2 linked regions of the Drosophila melanogaster genome follow. The protein of the gene in region 2 interacts with the protein of the main gene of each other region in a pairwise test. Each region holds a gene or a part of one and is shown on either strand. Other genes may lie near its edges.

Region 1 (3,875 bases), on a different chromosome or scaffold from region 2:
AAATCTAATTGAAATCTATTCAATGATAACATGGCCCCATAAATATTCATGACACTTCCCCCAACCACCATCCGGTTTTGTGTTGTCCTTTCATTTGCAAGCGAATTGACCGAAGCTTAATAATAATAAAACTGAACTGCTACGGCATTTAATGGCTAAATTAAACATTTTGCATAATTATTTCAAGTGATTCTGCAGTTGTAATATCCGAGGAATTATCTTAAAGGGCAGAAATCAGTTTTCTTCACAATTGGAATGGCCAGAGCATGAAATCAGAATGAAAGCGATTGGCCGGAAGGAAAACTCTTCGGTTGCCTAGACTGTCAAAAGGAATTTTCAATCACAAAACAAAATGCCAAAATAAGTTAAACTCTGGCTGTGTATCCTTGTATCTAGCTTCGGCCGAATGATGATTACCGTTAGGACATTGCGTAATTAAATATTCCCCAGACCAGTGAACTTTCGGAAGCAAAGTATTAATAGATGGGGAGCAAATGAAGGTTAGTGGGTTAATCATATCAACATCTCAGCAATTAGCCTGGCCAGTGGTACTTAGAATTTTCCTATAATTTCCTTAGCAACTTAGACGAGGCACGAACAGGAGTGGAATGACCGAAAGTTATTGGACACAATTTTTGTGATTGAGTAATTAAAGATATTTATCCTTGAGTAAAAACCATTAGGCAACATTTGTTAAAAGCTTCTTCTACAAAAGAGTGTAGATAGATGTAGTGTAATAGATACTTTCTGTCAAATGCATACACAAGTTTTAATCCCCAATGGTTTGTTATAATTACAAGTTTCTTTAATATAACTTTGCAATTTTTAACACTACTGAATGATTTCAGCGGGTCTCTTTCTTAGAAGTGCCAGGACGATTATCAGGGTTGGATTTACATATACGAGCAGGAGTAGGCTTCTCGGACGTTATTTTCAGTGAACTCTTGTGTTCATGTAGATTTTGGGTTTGAGTCGGAACAACCGAAGGGTATGGGACGCGAGGCTCGCGACTTGGTTCATCATCGTTGACCGATGGCATTCGATGCAAGTGCGTTAAAGAGGCCAATTCTTCCGGCTCTGCTTTGCTAAAGAGCTCGGCCTTCAGTTTTTGGTAGCAGTGATGGCTGGGGGAGAAACCTGGTTCAGGCTCAGAATGATCTGATATCCTGTATTCGGATTGACTTTCAGAATATGAGTATTTTGTTTGCGTCAAGTTGCTTGCTTCGCCGTCGAGTTGATTGTTTTCACTGCACGCTTCACAAGATTCCATTCCCCCTTCGCAGTGAATATTAAACTCTGAACTGGTCAACTCGGCAAACTCGTCGGCTATAAGACGTCGAGCCAGTGGAACCGAATAGAACTCCTTGTAATGCACTTTTCGCCGCCTCTCAAACTCCATTCTACGCACTTTTTCCTCTACAGACTCGGGAAAGTCCTCATCCGCCGAGGATTCTTCTGAGTCTCCTTCGATGCCAAATGCCGGCATTTCTGACTTTGATGTGTGTCTCAACTTTTCGATCAGGGCATTTGTATCCAACTCCTTTGGCAAATCCTCCTCAAAGACGAAGGGTGTCTTTGGTTCGTCGATGATCATGTGGCCGTAGTCCTTACCAGCCGGGTGGAACGTGGCCAGTATGTTGACCTCATCAAATTTGGCTGCCTTCAGGCTAAATTGCGCACTATTGTTTCCCGACTTCAGGATGCCCTTTACTTGGTCCCCATCCATTCTTGTTTGTAGCTATGTGTAGTTTTGGCCTTTGAAAGGAACTAATTACCGAACTAAAATGTATTAGTGTAAACTTGTGTGTGCCCTATATGGCTTATAATATTTAACTGATAAAATACATTGTCATCGTCAAAAAATATATAAAAATCGTGGGCTCCTTTTCTTGGAAGATTATTGTATAACTTCATTACATTCGCGTACAATTTTTTATTTTATTTTTAATTTATTATCATAAATCTCTCTATGAACTCTGCACTCAAATTACTCTGTTTAACATTTTAAATTGGGATCTAATTATGTAGTAGAAGGTATGCCTGCTTCAAGTCACATATTATCTTCTTATATTCGATTTTAAAATTACTTTATTTATTGTTACCATACATATTAAATTTGTATGTTTACGTATGTTGTTTAAATGCTGCTTAGTGGAGTTTCAAATTCATTGTTACTCCATCATTATTCTCTGGTAAATTAAGCCAAACATGTTTATTAATTATAAATTAAGTCCTTGTCTCCGTATCGAGCAAATACCCAACCCCTAATCTCGGATAATACCAAATCTCCGATCAGACTGTGGACGGATTCACTTTCAAAATATCAAGTGGTTTTCCTGCTGCAATCTCGAAGTAATCCCTGTTGCCATTGCTACTGTTGTTTTTGTGTTGAGGATGTCAAGAACTCGATGTGTTTGTGTGTGGATGAATGTATTCGGTACTCCAATCGAGATACTTCATAATCCGCGGGAGCAGTTTCCAATCGCAGCCATCGAAACCACAAAGTAAACTCATTTTGACGTGTTCAAAATGGGGTTTTGCCGCCCGTTGGATGGAATGATAGGGGGTTTTGTAAAGCGGAGTCAGAGCAAGGCTTCATTATTGATGCGCCATAGTGGAGTTTTTGTTATTGATGTAAACATATTCATCACAAACATGTTACCTCCGATACGGACGAAAACGTGGAAAATGGGGGAAGTGGGGGCGGTAAATCAAGTGATGATAAGAGGCGTGGGGCAACCAATGCAGTTGTGGCAGTTGCAGTTCGCTCTGTGGCAGCTGCCACTTCAAATAACTTCACTGCACACCGTTTTTCCCGCTTTCTCCCGCTTTTCCAAAGGGAAAAGTGAGGGAGTGCCGCATGTGAAGAGGGGCTAGAGGTCACGGAGCGCTGTATTGGGAATTGATTGCAGCACATTATTTCACAATTTTGCCAGCAAATAAACAAGCCTTTGCCGGAGTACGTTCAGATACGAGCCCAGACACCGCGAGAAAAAATGCGTAAAAATATTAAAGCACGATGCCTTTAATATTTTTATATTAATATTAATATATTTTAAGGGGAGAGACAATATTATCAGTTTCCGTTTATCTGATGGAATGACTAATTAGGTATATATTATTCAAAATGTATATTACTAAAAATTATAAGCTAAATCCGTTTTCTCGCTGTGTAGATCCCCGATACGCTTGCACGCATGTGACGAGCGGATGCTTATAAGCACAGTGGATGCGACAAAACAGCAGCATAAAAGTGACGATGACGAGGATATGTCCTCCTTCACTTGTTCCTCCACGCGATGATGACGTTGCGATGTTGTGTCCTGTTGCGAGGTGAAGATGATGATGATCATCAACATCATGATGATGGAGATATAGGCGATGCCGGCAAACAGTCAACAACTGTTTTTCAGCTGCAGTTTTCCTGCCATGTTTGATTGCCTCTCTGTCGGAGACGAAATGCGATGTTGATGCGGCTAGGAAATTTTTCCTTCGATTTACGAAATTGCAGTTGCCCCGATTGCATTTCTTATGTGCATCAATCGCAACAATGTGCAGTGCCGGCAGGATGTGTGCATTGCGTATCCGCAACTGTGTATCTGTGTTCGAGTGTCTGCGTATATGTGTGTGTATCCGAGTATCTGAGTATCCGTATCCGAGGCTCTGTCTGTGCAAATTCTACGTGCAACGCGCCGCATACATATGCGCATAAATAACAGCTGTGAGGTGAGAAAATCGAACGTGGGCAAGGAGCCTTCCTTGCATCCACATATCAACAGGATTTTATGGCAAAATCATAAATTTTCCTCGACTCTTTCGGCTCTCGTCTTCCGCTATGCAATGCAACATCCGTTTCCGCAAGAAGTTGCATCGAA
Region 2 (5,543 bases):
ACTTGCCGAACTGTGTGCCGCCCAAGGAGCCACTGCCGTGGGCCAGGTACACATCCTACTGCCGGCCAACCGGACCTATTGAGAAGTGTACCATCCAGAAACTTAGCTACGGACCGCCAGGTGCCTTCCAGCGCTGCGGAGGTAGGTTATCACCAGATTTACTTCCTAGCATTTATAAAAAAAAATGCATAATCCCAAACAGGTCCTTGTGGAACTGGCGCTAACGATGGCACCTTTCCCAAAGCCGGCATTTGTTAGCCTGGAAATACATTATGGTTGCTCTGAAGAATCCGTCTCCCAAGCTCATCCCGAGTTCTACGTTTTATGTTCAAGCTAAATCTTTCAGTCCACGTCTTCTAAAGAGATATGTTGTTTTCTGTTGTAAATGCTTGTCAAAGGGTTCGCTTTGCGAACTGCATCCATTAATCGAGCGGCGCTATCCGTTTGCTTCGCTGCACCATCGCTTTTATCCGATTTTGTCAATCCCATATGCATATACAGAAAATTGCCGGTGATCCAATACATGGCTTATGAATTATGGTGTATTCCTCATTGTCAAATTAAACTCTGTTCACAGAAATATAGAAATCCAGTAAATCACGGAATAACTAATCGTTTTAATTGGATTTATACAACTAAGTCTAGGGTATTGCGTCTCAAACCATTTGAATCTGCAGCCTCCGCTTGCTGGCTTCTCTCCGCTTCTTATCCCGTTTCTTGCGGGTCTGTGTGGCCTCCCTGAAGAGCTGGACACCATCGCGCTGCTCCACTTCCGTTTGCAGCAGGGCCAGACCGTGCAGGTTCCATCCTAAGACATCGCGCAGCTGACCAACGTCCCGCTTGAGCATCGAGAGCAGCTTGACGAGCAGCGGCTTCATGTTCTTAGCCGCCGAAATGGGCTTCATGTGCACCTTGAACAGGAAGATGGTGACGCGGCAAAGCAGCTCCAGTTGGTCGGGTCGCTGGGTCAGCAGAGTGGGCAGGCGTTCGAGGACTTCGCACACAGTGGAGAAGGGGAGTAGAAGAAGTGCCTCCTCCAGATCGGACGCACGTATCCTCATCAGGGTGCTGACCAGGAAGTCTTCGGGATTCTTAACCTGCAAAGCCTGCATCAGAGGATGTAACTCGGGTTTCTCCTCCGCCTCGAGCTCGAACTGTTTGGATATCTCCAGACATTCGAGTATCGATTCAGCAGACTGCTCGGAACCCACTGTTTTGCGTGACGGCATCTTCAGACCCGGAAGCAAGGGAACTGTGTTGTCCTCGCCCGTGGCCAGTTGCTCATTCTCCATTTGCTCTCGCTCCTCCTCCTGCACATCCTTCAACACAATAGTCTCATCTGTTCGCTCGAACATTCTAAGAGTTCGATCTGATCCGCAGGTGACCAAATATCGGCCATTCGGAGAAACGGACAGACAATACGCTTCGCCTATGTGTCCAGGTAAGGTAAGAATCTTCTCGAAGTTATCGCCATCCCACTGCTTCACCTTTCCATCCTTTCCACACGTGAAGAACATGTGCGTCCTGGGTATAAACTGTACACTCATTACCGAATCGTCGTGTGCAAAAATGGAACGATGACAGTCTCCGAAATTTAAGCCCCAAACTTTTACGTTACGATCTGCTGATCCTGTTACAATGAGATTGGAGTCGTAGGAGATGTCCAGGCAGATCACAGGTAACTTGTGGCCGTACAGTGATAGGTAGAACTTAAAGGTGTCCAGGAAGAAAACCTTCACGGTGGCGTCCAACAAGCCCACAGCCAGGTACTTCATGTCCGGACTAACGGCCAAACAGAGCACGGTCTCCTCCAGCTTCAGTGTGTTTTTGTGCAGCAGGGACAGCACCTTGGTTTGGGCAGCACCCTCGCCGGCATCGATCAGCTCGAATGTCCAGATCTTAACCGTGGTATCGCCGCTGCCAGTGACGCAACCCTTTTGATCGGGCAGTATGGCAATGGACCAAAGTTCGCCTTCGTGAGCCGGAATCTCCTCCACTATATCAGCCGCTGCCACGTCCACAATGAGCAATTTGCCACTCTTCATGCCCAGAAGGACGTAGCGATCGCCGGGAACAAACTTCGAACAGAGGATGTAGTCCGTTGGCACAGTACGCAGGCACTGCATGGCATCTCGATCCCAGAACTTAAAGGATTCTCCAGCTCCGGAACCAATGGCCAGGGAATCGTTGCTGAAGCATACGGATCGCACTTCGGACTGGTGCCCCAGACGAGTAAGTGACCTAAGTAGTTTCGCGCTGGGATCGGTTGCTTTGCGCGTTTTGATAGACGCCTCCAGCGAGTACAAGCACAGACTGTTGTTGGCCAAACTAACAAGGACACGCAGCTCCTGGTTCTGGCCCAAAACCACATCTATGGACTTGATCTTTTGCTTGGCACGAATGCTTTCCAGTCGCTTGATTTCATCGCTCAGCGATTGTTCCGTGGACAGTTTTGCTTCGTCTGATCCCTCATCTTCGGCGACCTTTTTCTCCTTCTTTAGACGCTTAGCCAGTCGTTTCTTTACCTCGTCCGGCGTGCAGATGTAGAAGTTCTCGATTAGATCATTAGTGCCGTGGCAGCTGATCACGCGTTCACTGGGATCGGTCACCAGGTTGACGGTGCGGCCCTTTCCAGCGCGCTGGATGGTGCCGCAGTTGCTCACGCTAATGGGGCTGATGGTGTCCTCGTCATCAATAGACAGGCCTTCAACTGCAGACTCCAGAGTTTCAGTGATGGCACCGTCGTGCTTTCTCAGGCGGTAGACATTCATGCCGCTTTCGCCGGCGCCAGCTACCATTAGATTCCCAATAAAGGCCAGTGCCCAGACTTCGGTGCGGTTATCCACGATTGTCTTGAAGCAGAACTGCGTCTCCAGGTTCCAGAACTTGATCTGCGTGTCCTTCGAACAGCTTACCACTATGCTCTCGTCTACCAGACGCTGCAGGAAATGGGCGTCCGTGATGGCGGCATTGTGGCCACTCAATCGAGCTCTTCCCGCCTGCTCCACCACATCGACGACCACCAATTCGGTGTCCAGGCCTCCGCTCACCAGACGCATGCCCTGCAAATCGTACCGCAGGATGCTAACAGCGTTCTTGTGGAGTGCCAGCGTACAGATGGGATCGTAGTACCTGTCCGAGCTGAGATCGAAGATCTGCACCATGCCATCCGCATAGCCAACGGCAATGTGCAGGTGATCTGGCGAGACCCTCAGGGAGGTGACCTCGAACTTTTCGCGGCGCAGCGTCAGCTTGCGATCGCCCATTCTGGGGAAATATAAATTCATGTCAGTTTAAAAACGAAGTAAAGGAAAAGCTTAAATAGCCTTACCGCAAATCCCACACGATCACATTTTCAGCAGCTGGAGCGGCCACATATCGACCCTCTGTCTTGTCCACAACGGCAAAGTTCACATTGGCGCGGCCGGAGGTGATGATATTAAAGCTGTCTATAGCCCGGTAGGCCAAATATTGTTTAGTTAAACCCATTGCAGCATTCAAAACACATAAGGTAAATCAAAAATCGCGTTTCACGTGTTTGGAGATGGTTCCCAATCGATTGCCAGCCGTTTCTATCGATTTGTTCTTCGCAAATCAAAGCAGTTGGCAGCGCGATTGGGTGGCAACGCCGCGCGATTTCCGTTACGCGCCTGCGCTTTTAAAACTCGAAAATCTAACAAACCCACCCCAAAACGTTTAAGATAACTCTGTTTTTGGCCAGCTCAAGCTGCAGTTTTTTCACAAATAGCACAGAACAGAGATCCAAATATGTCTACCTATCCCAGTGCTTCCGCATCCCAGTCGACAGGTATTAATAACATATATTCATTTTAATGAGAACAGAAAGTAAACAAAATCGCTCTAGGAACCTCTGACCTGGACACCGAGTCCGTGGAAGTTCTGCGGGAGCGGCTGAGCACCATGAAGCGGCTGATGGCCGAGCGGACGTCCCAGCAGCAAAACAACCCGGCGACCACGGAGGAGATATTCTCCACCAAGCGCCACCGCTCGGCGGGCATCATCGATGGAAACTTCCTGAGCATCGCGTTCGGCGGAGCTCTGCTGGTGATCATCACGGTTTCGGTGTACGCCTTCTACAGTCTCTACCATGCCATACTCAAGAAGTTCCCTTCGCGCCACGAGGAGCTGTAAACGATGCCAAATTCGATGGCGGTTTTCCGCTTACACACAATTATGTACGAGTTTCTGCATTTAATAATAAATTGTAGCATGAATTTTACTATCAAAAAGTGAAAAAGCCTTGGAACGTGTGCTGTTTTGCATTCGGGTTAATCAACGCCATTTATTGGAGTTCAACTCATTACAAAAATCAATAGTCTCATCACTTTTTACACATCCATTGTTTTTTGTTTGGTTCGAATTAGACTACAACTAAACTGAAAAGGGAAAACTGAATGCATGGACAGCAAAAAAGAAAATGGGGCGTTTGGAAAATGATTTGGATATTGCTATATGGAAAACCATCAAAATATAACGCAGGTGTATAATAAAAACAAAAGACATGACACGAAACGCTGAAAAGGAACACTTGGGGGGATGGGGCGCAGATATATCTGGCGAAAACTCATGGATTTGATTTTGCTTACTCGCTAGCTAACCTCACATCTCGCCTTTTGATCATTATTATTATATATCCTTTTGCCTTAAATATTAGTGTTCGCTAAACTCCTATTTTATGTGTATGAGTTGTAGATTTCATTAATATATCGTTATGTTTTTTATTTTTTTTTTTTACTTTTTCATTTAGTTGGATAGATTTGTTGGTAGATAAATAATAACTAATATCCGTTTGTTTTTCTTTGTTTTTTCGTTTTTAATTCAAATATTATTAGTTTATGTTTCGCAATGTTCCATTTCTTGCACAGCGTAACAGTTCTACTATTTGTAATTAATAATTTGTTGTTTAAGGCGGCCATAAATCAAACCGTTTCAATTTGGATTTTCGGAATAAAACAATTTCAGAGTAGATTAGAACATTAAAAATGGCTATAAATGAACTGATACTATAGGTTTGGTTTCGCAATTTAACTGCCGCTGCGCCGCTTTGTGGATGCCGGATAAATGTTTAGGATTGGATTAGATTGGATGTTGGCTATGACTTCGAACAGGACTCGGGGCTACCGGCTTTCTGCTTTTTACAATTGATTAAATTCCCTACTATTCTCGAACTGATTCCGCTTCTGCTGGTGCTGCTGCCGAGACAGACGTTCCAGACGCTCCCGCCGTCGTCGTCGTCCCACCCGGCGCCACTTTGTTTCTTGTTAATCAGATGTTGTCCACGGAGTCGGCGTCATCCTCGGAGCTGATCTCATCGCCGAACTCGATGTCCTCGTCGAAGCCATCCTCCACGAATGTGACTGTCTCGTTGATGCGCACCGACTCGGGGAACTCGCCGTACGTCTTCAGGTTCCTGGCCTCGTCCGGTGTGTATTTGAGGATCACATCAGCCTTCGAGTCCTGGTAGTCACGCAAGCCCACCAATATGATGTCGCCCTGGTTAATCCACACCTGAAAGTACCAAG

The links.
Region 1: the proteins of CG8064 (region 2) and CG6380 interact in a two-hybrid assay, tested with the Drosophila melanogaster proteins (one large-scale study listed by BioGRID).

The regions. Positions count from the first base shown.
Region 1 is NT_033779.5:17,290,383-17,294,257, forward strand, and holds CG6380 (uncharacterized protein), read right to left. Parts: upstream 1,821-3,875; 5' UTR 1,727-1,820; coding exon 845-1,726; 3' UTR 693-844; downstream 1-692.
Region 2 is NT_033777.3:18,281,680-18,287,222, reverse strand, and holds CG8064 (uncharacterized protein), read right to left. Parts: upstream 3,564-5,543; 5' UTR 3,490-3,563; coding exon 3,332-3,489; intron 3,268-3,331; coding exon 657-3,267; 3' UTR 599-656; downstream 1-598. Other genes in the region: CG7131 (uncharacterized protein), read left to right, coding at 1-141, 203-258; CG14312 (uncharacterized protein), read left to right, coding at 3,769-3,808, 3,866-4,152; eIF1A (eukaryotic translation initiation factor 1A), read right to left, coding at 5,287-5,529.